Drosophila melanogaster: one gene and its partners. The protein of the gene in region 3 interacts with the protein of the main gene of each other region in a pairwise test. Each region holds a gene or a part of one and is shown on either strand. Other genes may lie near its edges.

Region 1 (7,622 bases), 1.2 Mb from region 3:
AACAGGGATTCCCATTTGACGGAAGCCAATTCCGGAGCAGCGGTTGCCCTCTCGGCCATCCAGCGCAAGCAGAAGAAGATGAGCAGTATCGAGACCACGATCACAGCGGCGGCCACAGCTGCCGCACAGGCAGCGGCGCAAGTGAAGGCCACATTGGCTGCTCAGGTGGCCAGTGCGCCCAAGGGCAACGATGGAAAGATATACCGTATGTCGCCACTCACTTGAGTATGCTAGCATTTTATTATGTTTCATTATGTTGCAGCCACTCCCGATGTGACGCAGTACCAGTATGATGAGACATCCGGCTACTATTACGACAGTACCACGGGTCTCTACTACAATGCCCACTCGCAGTACTACTATAACAACGAGACGGGCGCGTATCTTTACTGGGATCAGCGCAGGAGCACCTATGTGCTGGCCACGCCCGCCTCCACTCAGGCAGCTCTGCAGGAAGTCCTGGCCGACGCCGAGCAAAAGGGGGAGGAGGAGTCCAAAAAGGCGAAGGAGAAGGAGGGTGGAAACAAGCACGACAAGGTTAAGGTGGCGAAGAAGATCGTCAAGGACATGGAGAAGTGGGCCAAGCAGCTAAACCAGAAAAAGGACTACACAGCTGTGGCCACGCCACAACCAATATTGGCGAACGAGGTAGCCACCACTTCGCGTGGCAATCAAGGGGGATATGCTGATGTGGGATTCTCCATTCTCGAGAAGAAGGAGAGGGGCAAGTTAAACGACTATGCGCCAAACCCGACTGTGGGTCCAATGAACAAGCTTGTCAATGCCTATGGCGGAACATCGGACTCTGAAGAGGACAATGCTGCGAGTTCGCAAAACACACAGAGTTCAGCGGTTGTAAGCGGCGGAGGAGGTGCTGAAGAGTCCGATTACGTGGACTTCCATAAACTGACATGCCTGCTCTGCAAGCGTGCCTTCCAATCGTTGGAAATACTCCAGAAGCACTTGAAGATGTCCACTCTGCACAAGGAGAACCTGGCCAAGCTCAATCAAAACACTAGCAGTAGCATCGAAGAGGCACTAGCGTAAGTGAAATCGCGATGTGTGGTGGAGTATATTATCATTGAATTCATATTCTTTCCCAGCTATCGTGATCGTGCCAAGGAGCGCAGGCTGAAGTACGGCGAGAGCGATCCTCCCCCACCAAATAGGAGCAGGGAGCGATTCGAGCAGGAGATCAAGACACTGCAGTCGCGGCAAAAGCAGTCTACTAGCGCTACTCCAGCCATGCCCATCAGTTCGAGCAACGTGGGCAGTCGACTGCTCCAAAAGATGGGTTGGTCGGAGGGACAGGGACTGGGCAGGAAGAACCAGGGACGCACCCAGATCATAGAGGTAACTGAGCTGACGGCAAGCTATAAAATGAATTAAGAAAATTAAGCATTTTGGGTTCCCTCAGGCGGACGGACGCTCCAATTACGTGGGCTTGGGCAACAAATCGGGACAGATGATACCGGGCAACGACTACAAATCCTATATAAAGAAGATGATGAAGCAGCGCTACGAGAATGCTTGAGAAATTGGTTTTTAGCCGTTTCACATGTTTCATTTCAACTAAAGTCGCCGTTTAATTCAGCTTTTCAACCGAAGCAAAAATTATTTCCATATTATATATGAAGCTTCTTGAGCATTGTTTTCCTAACAGATTGGCGTTTTTTTAAGTCCACGAGCAAGTGTGACCGTTTAGTTAATAGTTTCTGATTAAGCGAATTTAAATCCTTTTTCGAATGTACAAAATAAAATGTAACGGTGTAAAGTTTAAATTTGCTTGGTGTTGGGAAACAACTGTTAGCTGGCACTTGGTAGCCCTGGAGCTATCGGTCAGTTATCGATAACTGGCAGTCAGATACTTCGGGTGAACGGCAAAAAAGAAGACCGAGAATTTTTCTATTCGGGTTTTTTTTTTTGGCCGGATAACTGATTGTTTCTGCCTGAATGCAAAGAGACTTCCAGTTCGGGAACAAGTTTAACCAGCTTCCAATCCTGTTACAGTCGTGGTAACCAAGTAAGATGTGCGCACATAGACGGTTCATCTAATGGCAAAAGGCCAAATCACAAACACTGCATTTAATTACAATCGATTCGCATTAGATATGGATTCTCGATATGGTCACAGCTTCTCGGGCGGCAACGGAAACGGCAGCGAATCGGGCTACAGACGCTACAGTCGCTCCCGATCCCGATCCAGGTAGGTAGTCCTTTGTCCACCTGGAGCCTCTTAGTGGATTACTACCAATTGCGATTATTTCAGGGAACGAAGTCGGGACCGCAATGAGTACAGACGTCGCAACTCCCGTTCGCGCAGTCGGGAGCGGTCCTCACACTATAGAAACGACCGCAGTCCGGATCGCGATCTGTACCGCGACCTGATCAACGAGGATTACGAGGATCAGGGAAACTACAACTCGAGACAGAACCTTGACCAGCGCCACGGCGAGGACAAATACGATCGTCGGCATGCTGATAGCCAGGGTCGCAGGGATCACGATAGCAACTACGACAAGAGTGGCCAGGATATGGATAAGGACCGCGATCACCGCTGGAAAAACTACGATCGCGTTTCGAGAGAGCGCAACCATGATGACTTCGATCGGGGATCGGAGCGCAGCAGGTAAGAAATGATACATATTGCATATTACCCATATCGTGCTCAGTGTTATCACTGAGATTAAGATTAAGCTAAGTTCTATGTTTCCATTCACAAGGCTTCCATAAGAAGGAGGACTCCTCTTTCACTAGTTTAAAAGACCTTTCATTTGCTAATCACTTGTAATAAAAGTCAAAATAATTAGAAATCAACCCATTCAGTAATGTACACTTCCCTTTGTTCGCATAAATGCATACAAATCATCTTATGAAATATTCATGCTGGATGCCTTTAATTACAGTGGATAGTATGCAAACGATGGTTTCAAACGAACCGAACGAAAATTTATTCGACAAAGTGCTCATTGTATGACCTTAAAGAATCGCTTTCCTTTCAGCCGCAGCAATGACCAGCGGCAGTTCAATAATAATGGAAATAGTAACTCCAGCAGCAGTTACAGAGATCGCGAGAAGGAGCGCGATCGAGATAGACGGTGTTCCTCGGACGAGGACAGCGACATGGCCAGCGAATTCAGGCAGAGAGGTGCCTACAACAGTGGCAGCAGCGTTGAGCCCTTGAACAACATAATCCTCTTCGGTCTGAAGAAGCACGTCACGGAAGCAGACGTAATGTTTAAGCGATAAGCAGAACGAATGTAAAATTAACCAAGTAATCCTCCACAGATCATGGGCGAGCTGATCAAGGTCGACCTGGAGCCCACATCCATTCGCGTGATGAGGAAGCAACAAACAGGTGGGTTACATTTCCGTGTGTTACATTCGATTTAAAGTGAAATTGTAGAGAAAGCGTGAGTATTGCGTGCCCAGCAACATGTTCGATGTAGGACTTATAGCAATTTCAATTATACTTGGCTTCGACATCAGCAAAAACATATAGAAAACTACAAACCGAAACAAAAACACAATCCCCAAAAATGACACAATGCTAATGATACAACCAACATTTTTTGACCAAACATTTTCGTATCTACTTCTATCTAAAATTTAGGTGCCTCACGCTGTTTTGCATTTGTCGAGTTTAAAACCGTTGAGGAGGCGACTCGTTGGATGGAGTTAACCCAGGTATCCCTAAAAACCACAAGAATCTTGAATCTTCTCGTATCCGCCAAAATAGAAATGACGGCAAGATCCGATAGCTTGGCATCAACTGTTGAAAAATGTGTGCCTTGAGTTCAATTCTGCTGGTGGGCTGCCTGTCCCTTCCATTTTTCTGTCTTAGATCAGGGAACTGAACTCAAAGGCGGAATCGAATCTTACGTAAAGGAAGCAACCAGCATCTGCGTGATGTCGAAAAACACAGATGCAATCTTGGTGACTGTGTAGTCTGTGAACGATTTGCCTGATCAGCAGTTTCAGTTACTAATTCCAATTTTACCTCTTCTATTTTTCCGTTCAGGGAGTCCTCCAACTGGGCGATCATCGTGTCACCATGCAGTATAGTCACACTCGCATCTCAGACTGGACTTGCATTAAGGTATGCTCCGTTAAGATACAGATTGGCAACAATAATTAGCTTTTTTCGCCATCCTTCAGTGTGGTGCCAGCAACTTTAAGCGCCGCTTCCAATGCTACATGTGCAATGCGTCGCGGGCGGAGAGCGAGAATGCTCTTTACGGAGCCGGCGAGGGCGTCGACGAGATCAGCCAAATCCTCACAAAAAGTATATCCACCATGAGCAATATCTTTCAATGCCGTTTCCTAGCTAATCAGCTAAATACCCCACTAACCTGCCACGCTTTCCCCATGCAGAGATCATGCTTCGCGGCTTGGACGCGCTGACAAACGAGGAGGGCGTGCTAACTGCCCTTCAGCAGCGCCTGCCCGAACTGGCCAAAACAGTCAGCAAGGTGCTGGTCAGTCGCGACGCCCTAACCAATGCATCTCGGGGCATTTGCTACCTCAATTTTGACACACTCATTGATTCTATGAACGTGTTCAACGGGCTGACGGCGTTGGATCCGCCACTCACTCTGGACGACAAAACAGGTAAATTATTACTTCTTAATTATTTCATAATTAAAAAACAAAACTTTAATCCATGCCCTTCAGTTATCGTCACCTACTGCATTGACTCCGAAAACCGTCAAATGATGCCAGCCGAAGGCAACTTTTTTAGAGCAGGTGAAACAGCGATGTCTCCGTCGGCCATTACGGCGGCCTACACTTTGGCGGATGTGCCTCGTCTTGCGGAGTACAGTGCATCCGTGTATGCCTCGAATCCGTTGGAGCATGCTAACTACGTCCAGTACTATACGGATTATTACACGACTGAAATAAGCAAGAACTGCAGAGATCGTCAAGTGACGGAGGCCAACTCCGGCGCTGCCGTTGCTCTCTCGGCCATCCAGCGCAAGCAACGGAAGGTCAGCCAGATGGAGACCACGGTTTCGGTGACAGAGGCGAAGGTCGCCTTCCTTGCCAGGGGTGAAAGTGCTCCCAAGGGGAATGATGGCAAGAAATACGGTAAGTGAGCGCACACTATTCTATCTATGCGCTCCTGTAATGTCGAATATTTCATGCTCAATGGTTAGATACTCCCGATGTGTCCAAGTACCAGTACGACGAGACCTCCGGCTACTACTACGACCACGTTACAGGACTCTACTATGATGCCCACTCGCAGTACTACTACAACAACGAGACGGGCGCGTATTTGTACTGGGATCAGAAGCGGAGCACCTATGTGCTGGCCACACCCGCTTCCACTCAGGCAGCCCTCAAGGAAGTATTAGCCGATGCCGAGAAAAAGGAGGAGGAGGCCAAAAAGGCAAAGGAGAAGGAAAAAGAAAAGGAGGAAGCTGGGGGGAAGCCCGACAAGGTGAAGGTGGCCAAGAAGATCGTCAAGGACATGGAGAAGTGGGCCAAGCAGCTAAACCAAAAAAAGGACTACACAGCAGTGGCAACGCCGCAGCCTATCCTGTCGGATACTGAGGCGGCCACCACCTCCCGTGCTTCCCAAGGGGCATATGCTGATGTGGGATTCTCAATCCTTGAGAAGAAGGAGCTTGGCAAGCTCAACGACTATGTACCGGAGGCAGGACCTCCAGCGATAAGCAAATTGGTTGGTGCTTATGGAGGACCTTCTGACTCGGAAGATGATAATAGTGCCAATCAGAAAGCACTTGAAGCTAGCGTTGGGACTAAACGAGCCATTAGCGATGAATCTGACTACGTGGACTTCCAAAAACTTACTTGCCTGCTCTGCATGCGTGCCTTCCAATCGCTGGACATCTTGCAGAAGCATTTGAAAATGTCGAATCTACACAAGGAGAATCTGGACAAGCTTAAACGGAATCCCGCAGTTGAGGCTGGCACGGATGAGGGTCTATCGTAAGTGGGAATATGCTGCTAGAATGGAGATAAACTCACTAATTTACTTACCCGTACTTAGCTATCGTGATCGTGCCAAGGAACGCAGGCTGAAGTACGGTGAGAGCGATCCTCCTCCACCAAATAGGAGCCGGGAGCGTTTCGAGCAAGAGATAAAGACTTTGCAGTCGCGCCAGAAGGATTCTTTTGGCGCCACTGCAGCCATGCCCATCAGTTCGACCAACGTGGGCAGCCGCCTGATGCAGAAGATGGGCTGGTCGGAGGGCCAGGGACTGGGCAAAAAGAACCAGGGACGCACCGAGATCATAGAGGTAGGAGTCGACGAGGGCGACGAATGGCAAAATATGGATAATTCAATGTCAATGTGTATCCACAGGCTGATGGTCGTTCTAACAACGTGGGGCTGGGCAACAACACTGGCCATATGGCGCCTGGGAACGACTACAAATCCTACATCAAAAAGATGATGAAGCAGCGTTATGAGAACGCCTGAGACTCTTCTTAAAGTGTATGATTTTATTCCGCTTGAATATAGGGGCATTTAAGCATTGTTGTTTACCTCGATTACACTTCCTCCACCTTGTCGCGTTCATTTAGCATTAGTTGCGAAGTTCAAATTGTAAATAGTTCGTAAATACAGTCTCAAATTAGGTTTAAATTTAAATTGTAAATGCTTTAAGTATGGAATTGTGCAAGGGAATCTAAATCTCGTCCATGTAGCCATGCTCATAGGCGTGACGAACGGTCTTGAAGATCTCCTGGTTCGCCTCATCGCCAGCGATGTCCAAGGACAACTGGTGGAAGGCGGGGCCGTGCATATCCGTCTCGAAGAGGCGGGACAACTCGGCGCAATCCTTCTCGGTGCCGAGCAGCCAGGGAAGGAAGTGCATGCATACCATTGGTCCGTAGAAGGCATATCGTTTGAAGTGGGCATTGAAGCGTTCGAAGCTGTATTCCTGTAGCAACTGGTCCACCCGATCGTCGGTCAACTCGTTCCGGTTTCGGCGCAGAACCAGTTCCAACATTTCGATCATGCTTCGATGGTACTTGCGCAACAAGTCGGCGTAGATCTCCTTCCTTCCTTCGGATGGCGTGTTCATGTACATAAAGAAGCTCAGGTCAATGGCCGTAGTGCTGAAGCGCAGCTCCTGGAAATCGATGGCTTTGATAGCGTCCACCTTATCTTCAGCGCCGTAGTGGAACAGCACGTTGTTCCTGTTGTAGTCGCCGTGCAGAAAGGTGGCAAAGTGGCTGTCCGGTTGATCTTCGGCAAAGGAGCTGGTGCGGATTCTCTCCAGCAGGAGAGTTGGCTGCTTGAAGTACTTCTCCCGCAGTCGCTCGATGGCGGCCCCGAATCCGGGGTCTGCCCCCTGGAGGAGCTGCTCCTTTTGCCGGTCGTAGAACTCGTAGAACCGATCGAAAGCCACGCGATAGAGGACATCAAAGATGCCCTTTCCTGAGCTGGACACGAAGGGCATGTCCACCACTCCGGCGCGCAAACGAGCATGAACGTTCGGCTGGAGGATTTTCGTGGCGTAGCCCAGAGCATGGAACGGACCCACTAGTCCTACCATGGCCTCCAGCTGATCCCGTCGAAGGGTTAGCCTTGGCCCCAATTGGTAGCCATCGCCCTTGAGATGCTTTAGGGCCAGCACCGATTCCCTACC
Region 2 (5,515 bases), about 14 Mb from region 3:
TGCTCCAGATACTTGGCCGTCACCAAGAGGGCCAAATCGAAGGCTTGCCACTGCTCATTCGGAGCACAGATCGCTTGTTCCACTCGTAAGCGCAGCTTCTGGGACATCCACAGACGGCACTCGGACTGGAGGGAGAAGTATTTGTCGTATATGATCATGGCATCGCTTTGCGCAGCCTTGCGATCCTCTTCCTTCTCCTCGCCACAAGCAAAGCTCTTGCGGAAGTTAATGGCGGTGATCCAGAACTCCAGGCATTCACGCTCTTGTCGCTGCTCCAGGTACTCGGTGAAGTAGAACAAAGCCAGTTCGCTGTTCAAGACATCGTAGATATTTACAGAGCCGCCTTCGATCAACTCCAGACAGTATGTAGAATAGTAGCCGCTCTGTAGAAATCCCTGCACATGATCCCGCTCCAGCTGCTCCAGCACAAACTCTCTAGCTTCGTCAAAGCAGCTGGCCGGAATTGGTTTGCTACACTCGGACTTATCCCTTCCGCAAAGTAGCAGCGATATATGCGCAAGGATGACGATGGGCAGCTCCACTTGCAGGCTGGCGTTCACTATCAGATACTTTTGGTATATGGCAATGGCATCGCTGATGCTGGCCCGCGATAGCTCGGCGTTCAGCACACTATCCGTTCCAGACTTTTGCCTATTGAGCTGCTTGTTGGTCTCCGCATAGATGCGGCTCTTCTCGTCGTCTGTGAGGGGTTTGCGCATTGACAGATCGCACAGCGTCTTCAATTCAGGTACATCTTTGTCATCTTTGTGCGGAGAAGATTGTTCTATTGCCTTGCGAGGAGGTTCCTCTGGTTCCTCCTTCTCTTGCGTCAGAGCCGCCCGCTTAAAGTTCTCAATGTCCAAGTAGAATTTGATCAGCGGCAGGGCCTGTCGGGTGTCCAGATACTGAACAAAGTAGCTCAGGCAGTTCGGATCGTTGACGATGGAAGCGAGATTCATGGAGAGGCGTGAGTTGTAGGTGAAAATGTCTGGGAAGAAAGCAAAAGGTATAGTTATATAGTAAAGCATAAATGCCAATTGCCATATGTGAATGAGTTTCAAGATTACAACAATTACAACTATTATGTAGACACACTTTTAAGGATTTTCGATACGTGGAATCGCTCCTTATAAGCATTAACAGTGTTATCTACGTTTTATCATGGAAAGTCGAGAATAACGCTGCGATTTGCCAATCATTTCAGTTTCAAAGGTGCCAACGTGATGAGCAATTGAACAATGGGCAATGAGGTAATTACCATCGTTGCTGGCGAGACTGATGCCATCGGAGGGGGCTCCTCCACCACCACCACCACCTCCTCCTCCTCCTCCTCCTCCTGTGGTTCCCACGCCGCCCTCCTCCTCCGCTTCTAGGAACACTTCGTCGCAGAAACTGGTTGTGGAGCGCAGCGAGTGTCGTTTGTGAGCGTTGGCTGCATCACCAGCTCCAGCAACGTCGTTGGTGTCCACATCATACGCTGGCATTTGGCCACAAATGGCATCCGTGGCATCTTGGCTGCTGCGACGTCGGCCTAAATAAAAATCAACAAAAAACCAAATATAATTGGTGTCAACAGAAGAGGAAGAGGGGTGAAGAAGAAACGGGGAAGGGGAGTTGGGTGAAAACAGCAGCGAAATTTCTTTAATTTCTTTAACTCACTGGCGTGCCTCTTGATGTAATTTAACATCTTTACATTCTCCGGCTTTCGGTTGATTCGAGAAGTGCTTCTTGTGCTTCAAAATGCCGATTAACTGGAGATTCGATGAAATAATTTAATGCAGTGCGACGGTAAATATTATGAAAATGGTTTTAGGCGATAGGGTTTTTTTTGCGACCTAATCTTTTTAATTTTTTTTCGCTGGCTGGCCACTCTGTTTGCACAGTTTTGGGTTGAGTCTTTGCTAAAAGGATTCGAAACCAATCTTAACGAACAGCGAATTCAAGCGGCGAAAAGCGAACTCACAGAAACACAGCGAATATTAACGGCGAAAAGCGAATTCATAATACTGGGCGAATTTTCGCTGCGGAAAGAAAATTCATAATACCGGTTGGCTAATAGCGGCGAAAACATAATTCACAATATTCACAAAGAAAATGTAGAAATTGCGCTTATTTCGATGTTTAAATATTGTAATACTTAAATATTTGGAGTTCAGTTTTAGTTTAAAATTAATAAAGTTATGAAATTTTTTGGGACAACGCGGTCTTCAATTTTTGCAAATTTACCCATTCAGATGGCGTATTGGTGGATATAAACATTAAGCAGATAGGTGGCGCCTTAGCAAACGAAAATTCAGTGTTGTGAAGCGCAAAAATACGAAATATCGCAGTGGCATCAATGTAATCGATAGTGCCATCAATGTATTTCCCTATGTGCGATTTTTTCCTTGGCAGCCGTGGTCACTCTGCTGTTTATCGCCGAATTGAACGCACGTAGCGGACCGGACGGATATCGCATCTTCCGATCGGAAAAATCGTACAGTGCAGCCAATTCGCCGTCTACAGAAATCTATTAGCGCGCGTGTGTTGGTGCCAGTGCGGTGGCAAATTAAAACAAAAAACATCTGCGAATTTGAATACGCAAATCTCATGCTCACTAAGAGCGCAAAAGTCATAGAGTGCAGAATAGTGAATTGAAGAACTTTTGGACGCGCTAAGAGTCGCTCTCCATCCCCATCTCTCTCTCTCTCTCTTGTGTGTGCAGTGCTAGTGTGTGCGAGTGTGAGTGAGACGGGCAAACAATTTGCCGCTAAATACAAAAAGCAGCTGAGACCAGCTGACGCATGTGTATGTTCGAAATACAATAAAGTTAACAGGCTATAAATAAATTGCAAATGTTTATGTAGCCGTCAAGCAGCAGCAGTAGCAGCGCAACAACAAAAACCACGTGGCACAGACATTTTGGCCACGATAGTAAGCAAATACACAAACACGATTAAACATGTCCGCCGTACCGGTTGCCATCAAAACGGAGGAAGTTATTCTAGAGCACGCCGAATACAACAGCGCCGAGGAATTGGATGAGGAATTGCAGTAAGTTTGCATCTTAATCGAAATCTCTTTTGTTTCAAATAAAAACAAGGCGAGTCAACAGCTTGGCTTGCATTTTTATCACGCAAATTATTGATTATTTTTACTACTTTGCTAGTGCTCTCCCTTTTCTCCGTCACCGTATCACTCGCGCTCTCTCTAATTCTCTCGTTTGCTTTTTGCCGCCGTTTTGCCGACAAAACAAATACGGCACAAAAACACCACCACCATTAAGACCCATCTCTCACTCACACACATGCAAGCTAGCGTGTGTCGCATTCCATTCCATTTCCATGCCGTTTTCTTGTTGCTGGAATAAATGTGCTCCTTTTTTGTCTCGTCGTTCGTGTCTGTGCCCCCTTCTCAACATCCTCTCTTTTTTTCCGCCGCTCTCGTCCAGCGTTTGTGTTGTTGCTGTTTTTACGCTCTGCCTTTCGGCGTCCATATTGTAAAACGGCTGTTTTGTCAATTTGTCAGCAGTGTCGGCAGACGGGCAACAGTGATGGCACAAACATGAGTCAAGGGTACAGCTGTTAGAAACGATGATTTTTTATTTGCTTTAACTTTAGAAGTGTAGAGTTCAGTAGAAGCCACAATATTAAAAATACATTTTTGGTTTTTCTATACTATTATGGAGGTGTATTTTTAGTTTCTCAAATATTTGTACCTTTGATACATATGTATGATACATAAATGACTTTAAGCGATCTTTTGAAATAATTTTGTATGTTTTTATTTTCACCATTTTGCTTTTTCCTAAAATATTTGGTTTAATTTGTTACAGCTGCTTTTGCTATTTTCTGTGTTCGTCGATCGCGTTTCGCTCTCAGCTCCTCTCTCTCTTCTCAGGCTCTTTCCTATTCTGCTGCTCTTGCTCTAGCTCATATGTTCAAATTAATGGAGGTAGAAAACAGCTGCGCACCCGCACTCCCTCTCTCTTTCTCGCCTCCTCGCTTATCGTGCGTTGCCTAATCAACATTTCTATTTCTTCTTTCGCGTTCATAGTTGAAATGAAATCAGCTGTACCGGTAAATTCGTATCATCAGATGATTTTGCTTCGACTTTATTTACATGCTTCTCCCTTTTCCTTTGCTCTCTTTGCTTATCTCTTTTTACACCGAAAGCAAAATGGATCTAATTTAAAGATCAGTTTGCTGAGTTTAATTAACAATTTGAAAGAAATGACACAATACGAGTTCATTTTCTTACCATTATCCACATCGATTTAGATATGTATCTCTAATATTCCTTTCAGATAAATGGGGCTCCATTTTTCTCTCTGTGTACTCAAGGAATGAGTGTACCGAGAAATGTCGAAAATAAGTTGACTAAGAAATAAATGTATTATTTTAATTTCTTATTTTCCCTCTTACTTTTCTTTCGATCGTTTTCCTTTCGCAAATATGTCACAGGTTTTCAGAGCGAAAGTTTCTTTTTCCCTTGCCGGCTTATCAGAATCATATGGTAGCGCTTTTCGCTTTTCACACGTCATAAGCGGCGCCTTTTCTTATCGCACGAGCATATGTTTTTGCACAACGCCGAAGAGAATCGGAAATATATACATATGTATGCGATTGCACACTTATACTAATCCGTTTCAGCTGGCTTTTCAAGACTTTTATTTCAGCTTGCGTATATACCGGGTAAATAAATATTTTAAACTCGGCAAAATGCCACATGTTTTTGCTGCTGCATTAAAACCAGTACTTCCTCTGTGTTTTATGGATCTATTTAGTATTTCGAAATAGTTGGTAGGAAAATACAAGCATTTCGTAAACGCACGTATAGGGACTATTCAAATACAAATAAAACCAATTGTTATGCATACATTAAGTTAAACCAGTAGACGTAATTAAAATACGATTATATTTTATGAAAATCTAAAAAGCTGTTCACAAAACTTCAAGGCTACATTTCTATTTTAAACCAATCAATTGCAGAATAGATAGATAACCGTTAAAACTTCGAAGGTGGCACGGTTATTTTTGCCACCAGTGTGGACGGTATAACAACTGCGTTTTAGCAGCTGCTGTCTGTTTGTTGTTGGTGCTAAAATAAAAGAGCGTGCCTTGGCTAAAAGTCTCCACCTCTATCTTTCTCTCTCTCTCCCTCTCTCAATTCCATCCGTTGCACATTTGCGAATACTACGAAAGCATGTGTTGTGGCTGCTATTGTTGTTGGCACGGTTCTGTTTGTGTGGCGTCATTTCCGTTTTTACCCCACTCGACTGGAAAAGAGGAGCAGAGAGTGCGAGAGTGAAACAGAGCGTCCTCAACTCTTTCTTTTTCCGTCTCGCTCTCACTGCAGTTTTATAAGAGCCGCTCCCCAGTTGATCGAAGTACATAAGCAGCGGGAGAGAAAGAGAGCCCCATTTGAGTTGCACTCAAAGCCAAAAGCTTGTTGAGCGCGACAGTGGGAGAGAGAAGAGCGCGCAAAAGTACAGATGCCGCCACACACACATTTTTTACTACCACACACGTTTCAT
Region 3 (3,903 bases):
CTAAGGAGATCTGTTATTCCGTTGCTGGTCCTAGGGCTTGCTCGCACCATTGTCATCACTTTGATCGACTATCACCAGGATGAGACGGAATACGGCCGCCATTTGAATGCCTTCTTCATACTGGGATTCACGAAATTGCTGGGCAGCTGCTATAGTCTGTTGGTAAACTCTGATGAACAGCTCCTGGCACTTGCAATAGGTAGGTCCAGAAAAAATAATAATGCAATAAATTTTAATTTCCTACGATTTTAGGTTTGCTATTCCTTCACGAAGTGGTGCTCCAACTGGGACTCTCCGAATTCGTCATGTCTTCTGCACCCCATGAGGGGTTTTTCAGTGCCAATCGGGAAGGCTTAAGTTCCCTACACGGATGTGTGGCTCTCTATTTGCTCAGCATTTACTTTGCCAAGTGGTATACTTCCCGTGATAGCCTGACTTATCAAGGACTAATAAGAAAGTTAAAGAGTATTCTTTTCGTGGCCATTCTCTGTTGGAAATTGGTTTTTATAAGTTCTTTTCTAACGGGCATAGCACGTGTAACTTTTAGTTTTGGCTATGTAATCTGGATTTTCGCTGTCTCCCTAAGCCTAATTGTGATCTACGCGTTCTTCTTTGAGCTGAAACTCGTACGGCCAGATATTTGTTCTAAAAAGTCAATTAGAGATGACGGGCAAAAGAACATATCCTTGCCCACCTTTGTTGAAAGTCTGAACATGAACGGTCTGACTCACTTCATGATCTCCAATTTCCTTACGGGAATGGTCAACATGTCCCTGAACCCGGGTCATCGAAGTGATCTGGAGTCTGTTGTTATACTGTCCATCTATATGTTTGTTTGTGCTGGAGTGGTCTTCCTTATGCTAAAAAAAGGCATACGTGTAGCTTAGTATTTGTTGTATAAATTAAATAGCAAAATACAAAGTACGGGTGAAAGTTTATTTTTAACTGACCACAGGCTAAAAAGTATACAAAACGAGTACCATCTTCCTAAGGACCACAAATAGACTCAAAGGGCATGATGCAACCATTCGGCATGACTAGAAAAAGGATGATGGGTGCCTCCGACCCGATCTTAGAGGGAGAGTTGTCTACATCGGAATCCTTGTACACCTCGTACACCATGCACCCATCGTTGCCACGAATCAAACGGGTCCACAACCACTTTTGGTCCTTGTGTCCTTGGGCAATCTGGGATGTAAGCTTGTCTTTCAGCTGTTGACAGGCCACCGAGCAGGTGGAAATTGATCGGCTTATCTGTTCCCTTATCGTGGCGCTGCCCGCCTTATTTCTCAACGGAATATCCTCCGCCGGGTGATCGAAGTCCACCCTGGGAGTACGCTGGCGGGGACAACAGGCAGCGGAACTAAGCCGACTCGCGGTCTTGAAGCAGGAAGATTTCGGAGTATCCATTGGACTGCAGGGCACTAGTGGAGCTTTTGGACTGGCGCAGCATCTCGTTGGCTTGGGATAACAACAGATAGTCGACGGCTTGGAGCAGCATGTACTCCAGGCCGATGAAGATGGATAAGCCGAGCTGCTTCCGGAACTGCAAGGGCTTGGTGCACAGGGTGCTGGTGGTGGGCAGGATTCCTTCTTAAAAGCTGATCCTACGGGTATATTTTATCTATGGACGCATTTATATTACTTCCTTCGATTACTGACCTTCATTCGACAACTCCAGCAATGGAATTATTTTCGTGGCGCCCGAAAGATAGAGGATGCGGTCCAGGATCGTCATGATGACCTCATCTGGATGCGGGCCCAGCATGTCGAAGAGTGGAGCCTGCGGCTTCTTCCCCAATCTGAGACCCGTTGGACACTCACAACGCGTCGTCTGAGTGGCACAACAGGATTTCATGGTTTCGTCTGCTAGTGTTGGTATAAATAAACACCCAATTTTTCCAAATGATATTCTCCCAAAAAGCCGGACCGGAAGTAAGAGATATTTGAGTGCTTAGCATGGACCTGCTTTGTCAGGAGCCATGGGCAGATGTCAAAGGTGCGATATCCGGCTTAGGCACACGGCGAAGGCGTCACAAAAGATAAGATTTCTATTAAGGAAATGACTGGAATTGCTTGCATTGTCCCTGGGCATCCAGGATGAGCACAGATCCCGAACGGCTGGGCAAGGACATTTAATTTAACGGCGCAAACAAAGACCAAATCAAAGTTCAGCCTCCGGGGGAAGCTAAGCTCACAAGCGACCAGGGTTAAAGGACCGCGCAAATGACCAGCAATGTGCTTCTTATTGTCAAAGGAAAGGACATCGAAAGGAGGTTTAACTATACGAAAACCTATCTACAAACCTTAGAGTTTTAAGTTAACATTTTCATTTCGTGACTTAGATACCTTGATGAAGATTAATTAAGATCAAGATTACTAATGATAAGATTCCTCAAAAATTCCTCACTGAAAAGGGTATCAGGCGTTCGCATTGCCGAACATACGTCTTTGGAATTTTTTCTATCCGACTCGAATGTAATTACGGCAACAGTTTCCGCTGCTGATGCGTAGCCTCTGCTCGCCATTCGACTTTGATGCGCTTTTAATGTCATATCCTGGCCAAGGACGAGGGCGTCGCCGGTGAATCTTATCTGATTTGGGCCAGCACAAATGCAATTTCCGTCCGCCAACCTTTCAACCCTTCCTGCCCACAAGCTATGCAGAGTTAATAGCTGGGAACCAAATATAATCATATAGTGTACCAGGAGGCGTGTCCTGGAAAAAGCAACAGGATGAGGCAAAACAGGAGAGCGGGAAGCACGAGCACCTGTTACCATAGGGGGTGGCTTTTTGGCTTTGATGACAGATTATTTTCATTAGCAAAAGAAGCGAATTGTTGTCCACTTTTGGGGAGAGTCGAATTATGAGCGTTAATTATTATGTTCATGTTTTTCCCCAGCATGTAGAACATGACATCCTGATTGATGTGGCCAACAATCAGGTAGAGAATTGGTTTTTCTGCTTACCGCATCTTTTTTCGAGCTGCCAATTTGCTGACGAGTTCCTTTTTTCGACTGCTCGTCAAATCGGATTCCATTCAGCGGGGCTTTCATAAAAAGAAATAAATAAAAACCCAAATATATCTGTGCATATGCATGAGTGTGTCTGCTGCGTGAAGGACTAAGCTCCTGGGCCCTGGGGAAATCGCTTAAGCCGTTCATAATGAATATCATGTGTACATGTGGGTGTGTGTGTCCATGTGTGTGGCAGTGTGGTGACTAAGCTGCAGGACCTTTTGCCAAGCGGCAAATGTGCGGAGAATGTGCAATATATGTCTGAACTATAGCTCCTCTGTGGCAGGACACCTACATGGTTCTGTTTAAAGGACTTAAATTCAGTTTTAATTCAGTTTCCCTAGCATTAAGCAATATATAGTTGCTTGCGATTGAATCGCCTCCTTCCATGCATTCTGAATTTTCTTACAATTTCCATAGAACTTTTCAAAGTTCCACATCAAAAACTGATTCGTTATGGCTTCCTCGAGCGTTTCTCCGCCTTCAATCCTTCACAGCAGCCCACTGCGTTACCACAGAAGTTCGTGACTTGGGCTGGGGCACAGACGCCCTAACAACTTCAGGCACATGGCAAACAAAATGCTTATCGAACAACAGTTTTTATCGGAGCTTATGCGTCATGGCAGCAGGCAGAGGAAGCCCCATTCCACAGGTCCTTTGAAATGCTTTTAGTGAGCGAAATTGCGCAATTGTGGAGCAATCAATGCGAAGCCAAAAAAAGTGTTGAGCAAATCGAAAGGAATCCAGGACAGAGAACGAAAGAGAAGTGCTTGGCATATACCAACTATCATTGAAAATAGATCATATTTTTAAAAACATTAAAACAACAGTTGAAATGCAACCCTATCATCTTATTTTAGCTTGCATGCTCTAAGACATCCTTTTT
Region 4 (3,681 bases), on a different chromosome or scaffold from region 3:
AATTTGCCAGAGTCTCCGCCATCCGAGATACCAGATTCTCGCCACCACAGCACCGCAATCCCTGCTCACCCGCTTTCTTGCGGCGGATGCGGCCACCGGCGCGGCAGTGGACAAGGCGACAATGGACAAGCTGGTGCGCACCAACAAGGTGGTCGTCTTCATGAAGGGCAACCCACAGGCGCCACGCTGCGGCTTCAGCAATGCGGTGGTGCAGATTATGCGGATGCACGGTGTCCAGTACGATGCCCACGATGTGCTGCAAAACGAGTCCCTGCGACAGGGTGAGTACGCTCCACATATGCATTAGCGTGCCAGCGTTAAACCTTATTGCTTGCGTGCAGGTGTCAAGGACTACACCGACTGGCCGACCATTCCGCAGGTGTTCATCAATGGCGAATTTGTCGGCGGTTGCGACATCCTGCTGCAGATGCACCAGAGCGGCGATCTCATCGAGGAGCTCAAGAAGGCGGGCATCATTTCGGAGCTGCTGAAAGCGGAGGAGGCTAAGCAGCAGGACGACAAGGCTAAGTGATGATTCAAAAAGAGCGCCCAAAGATCAAATTCCCTTCCTAAATCTGTTAGTCACGCAACGTTTTTATTATTAAATGTTTAACTCATAACGACAATGGTGTGCGTTGTTCCGTGTGATTTAAATGGCAGCCAATGGCATATAATCGCAGGCGCTCATTTATGATTGTGATTAAGATATAGCAGGCTTTGTAAAAGTACCATTATAATGTAAGCAAGCATTCTATAGGATGAATTCAGTTGCGCGTCCTGCGCCTCTCGTCGATTTGCTGCAGGAGGCATAGGATTCGACTGCGTGCCTGCAGAGCATCGTCCACCTGCAAGAGGGAAAAGCACTGTTGTCGATGCTGCGGATTAGTCATATTCACCAGGATCTCCATCAGGTTGTCGGCTATGGAGTGGCGCATCGTTTCCTCCGATGGCATTGGTGGAATCACGCGACTTGGACGAGTTGGAGTCGATTGAGCGGGATTTCTAAGTGGCAACTGATTCCCGACGTACTGCTCTTCATTGGGATACTCATCAGTTTGCTTTTCCAGATCCTTTGGTACCTGATTTTCCATCTCAATATCTTGGTTCTCATTTAGAAGCATTTTCTGATTAATCTTTAAATATTCTGAATTGTCGAGTTTATCTGCAGTCTTTGCATCCTTTTCTGCTTTTAAAATGCGGTTGTTTGCCAGATTCTCAACTTTAACTTCCATTATTTCATGCTTTAAGTCCAAATATTTATCATTTCTTGTTGATAGCTTCTTATTTTGAGATTCATGATTCCGTTCTGTAATTATAATGATTTTCATTGTGTAATCCTTTATGTCCTTGAACGTATTTGTATTACCCATTTCGCTGAGTGTTTAATCTAGTTTCTCGTGCCAATAATAAATTATAATAATAGCATATTTATAAATTCATTATAACTTCTATGTGCTATGATTATAACTGAAAGTCCAAGCGAACTATAAAATGAAATCATAAATAAAAATCGGGAATTAAACAGTTATTTATCGAAGCTTGTAATTATGTTAACCCTTATATGGCTCCTTTTTTTTAAATTATAAAATCTTAAACTTTTTATTGAGTTACATTAAGAACCCAAAATTATTCAGAATAGCAAACACAAATCGTTTCGAAAGCCAAACTGTTAGTCAATTATTTTATCTTTTCAATTATCCAACTATCCACTTCAATTTAAAATCATAAGCTTACATATTAATGCGATTTTTTTTGCTGACTCACCCATATATATTCATAGTTCCTAATTCGTTTAATTCTCAAAAGTTGCCGCAATCAGAACACATTTTGTTGATTTTACACATTTGATTTATTTAAATATACATATCGATCAATAGTCTTTCATATATTTAGTTACATACAATATAATACATATTGATTTAATTGGTGTTTTCGTACGTTTTCGTTTTTGCGGATTTGTGTTTTGAATTCGTTTTACATCAATTGCTTGTCGTTACGTTTGTTAATCGTATTATTTACGTTTAATTTTATAATGCAGCGATGCAATGCAGTTTGGTGGTAGTAAAACGAAATAAAAAAAAACTTATACCATAACTTGCTTATTAGTTAACAATAATCAAAAGTGTTAAAAGCGATATGCCATGTATATGTGAGGAAATTGCACCTCTGTGTGTGTGTGTGTGTGTGTGTTTTTTCTTCTTCTTCTCAAATTATATTCTGTTTTTTGTGTAATACTTCGAAAGTTCAGCGTTTTGAATAAACAAGTGGAACGAGTGTGTGTGTGGTGGTGTCTCCGATTTGTGTGCGGATCAGACAATGGACGACTTGTCCAGAAAGGATGAGGTCTCCATCAGCAGCTCGCTGCTGCTGCTCAGAATGTCGTACAGCTGGAGCGGTGCATCTCCGGCGATGGGATTCCCGAAGGGAAAGAACGACGACAGGGTCGATAGCTGCAGATTGCCGGTAACCGATGTGAGTCCGCTAGTGGGTGTGGCGGCCTTCGCCGTCGGCTTCCTGCGCCGCTCCACACCGTCGACGAACTCGGCCTCGTCCTCCTTGTCGGGCTTCTCGTCCTTGTGCTGATTGGGACGCGATTCGCCGGCGAACTCGTAATACGCATCGGGTAGATCGTCAAAGTTTTGATAATCCAGGCAGCGCTGTACCTTTGCTATGTTGCTCAGCAGCAGGCGATGATAGAGATCCACCTGCGGCTGGCCGCCGCCGCGTATATCCAAAATGGGCAGCCAGCGGTAGTAGCACTGATCCCACACCTGCAGATCGAAGATGCGATGTGCCGGCTGCAGGTAACGATCCTGCGGCACTGACGAAGCGGTCGCAAAGAGCTGCGGATTGATGGTGTTGCGCGAGGGTGTGACACCACTAGCGGCGCCATGCGCTCCCTTACTACCCACCGCCAGGGATCTGCGATGCGCCACGGCAGCCGCCTGGGCGCCAAGATCGCCCCTTTGGCGCTGGTACAGCGGATTGCTAAAGAACATTTTGTCCTTGTCCGAGAACTGCTCGCCCCAATCCCAAACGGGACGCAGGACGAGCTGCGAGTCGGTCACCGCCTTCAGTCGCTGGGCCTGCGTATCGAACTGGAAGGTATCGAAGATGGGCATGAAGCACGAGTCCCACAGCGTGGTCAGGTATGTCTGCGTGAACTCGAACTCGTCGGGGAACTGCTGCAACAGCTGCCACACGCAATCGAGGAAGAGCAGAAACACTGGACTCTGTTCGCTGTCGAATAGTTCGGCATTACCGCCGGCCGGCTGGGCAGGATAGACATGACCCAGGCGTCGCTGAAACGGATGCTCCAGGGCCACCCACTCCTTCTGCACCAGCGATTGGAAGCCATCGATAGTACGGAAATGCGGATCGAGCAATAGCTGCGCCAGACTGCTAATCACACAGCAGAGATCACGGCCATTCGACTCCTGGAGGACACAGGTAACGCCGCTGCGCAGCGTGGCAGACGCTTCACTAGCATAGCGTAGGCACAACGACACATAGAACAGCCAGTTGGTCTTTTCGAGTAGTCCCAGGTACTTGTCATCCTGCAGCATAAACTTCTCCGGCGTTTCCGGCGTGCATAGGCGCCTCAGCTTCTGATAGGCGCGCAGCACATCCTGAATGCTCGGCAGGCGATCCGTCAGCTGTAGGAGCTTCAGCTGTCGCCCC

The links.
Region 1: the proteins of CG3557 (region 3) and CG4896 interact in a two-hybrid assay, tested with the Drosophila melanogaster proteins (one large-scale study listed by BioGRID).
Region 2: the proteins of CG3557 (region 3) and crp interact in a two-hybrid assay, tested with the Drosophila melanogaster proteins (one large-scale study listed by BioGRID).
Region 4: the proteins of CG3557 (region 3) and CG14410 interact in a two-hybrid assay, tested with the Drosophila melanogaster proteins (one large-scale study listed by BioGRID).

What each region holds. Positions count from the first base shown.
Region 1 is NT_033779.5:1,175,839-1,183,460, forward strand, and holds CG4896 (uncharacterized protein), read left to right. Parts: upstream 1-1,851; 5' UTR 1,852-2,023; exon of another isoform or gene 2,024-2,109; 5' UTR 2,110-2,111; coding exon 2,112-2,206; intron 2,207-2,269; coding exon 2,270-2,629; intron 2,630-3,002; coding exon 3,003-3,231; intron 3,232-3,288; coding exon 3,289-3,358; coding exon of another isoform or gene 3,359-3,393; exon of another isoform or gene 3,394-3,613; coding exon 3,614-3,687; exon of another isoform or gene 3,688-4,021; coding exon 4,022-4,099; intron 4,100-4,158; coding exon 4,159-4,285; exon of another isoform or gene 4,286-4,374; coding exon 4,375-4,611; intron 4,612-4,674; coding exon 4,675-5,088; intron 5,089-5,156; coding exon 5,157-5,955; intron 5,956-6,016; coding exon 6,017-6,266; intron 6,267-6,331; coding exon 6,332-6,448; 3' UTR 6,449-6,616; downstream 6,617-7,622. Other genes in the region: CG4887 (uncharacterized protein), read left to right, coding at 1-205, 263-1,043, 1,104-1,353, 1,418-1,534; CG5126 (uncharacterized protein), read right to left, coding at 6,657-7,622.
Region 2 is NT_033779.5:16,284,616-16,290,130, reverse strand, and holds the start of crp (cropped), read left to right. Parts: upstream 1-2,400; 5' UTR 2,401-2,941; coding exon 2,942-3,033; intron 3,034-5,515. Other genes in the region: pkaap, read right to left, coding at 1-988, 1,259-1,531, 1,660-1,687.
Region 3 is NT_033779.5:2,383,845-2,387,747, forward strand, and holds CG3557 (uncharacterized protein), read right to left. Parts: upstream 1,949-3,903; 5' UTR 1,859-1,948; coding exon 1,663-1,858; intron 1,608-1,662; coding exon 988-1,607; 3' UTR 917-987; downstream 1-916. Other genes in the region: PIG-Wa (phosphatidylinositol glycan anchor biosynthesis class W a), read left to right, coding at 1-199, 253-887.
Region 4 is NC_004354.4:14,834,414-14,838,094, reverse strand, and holds CG14410 (uncharacterized protein), read right to left. Parts: upstream 1,371-3,681; coding exon 765-1,370; downstream 1-764. Other genes in the region: Grx5 (glutaredoxin 5), read left to right, coding at 1-281, 342-532; CG14411 (uncharacterized protein), read right to left, coding at 2,310-3,681.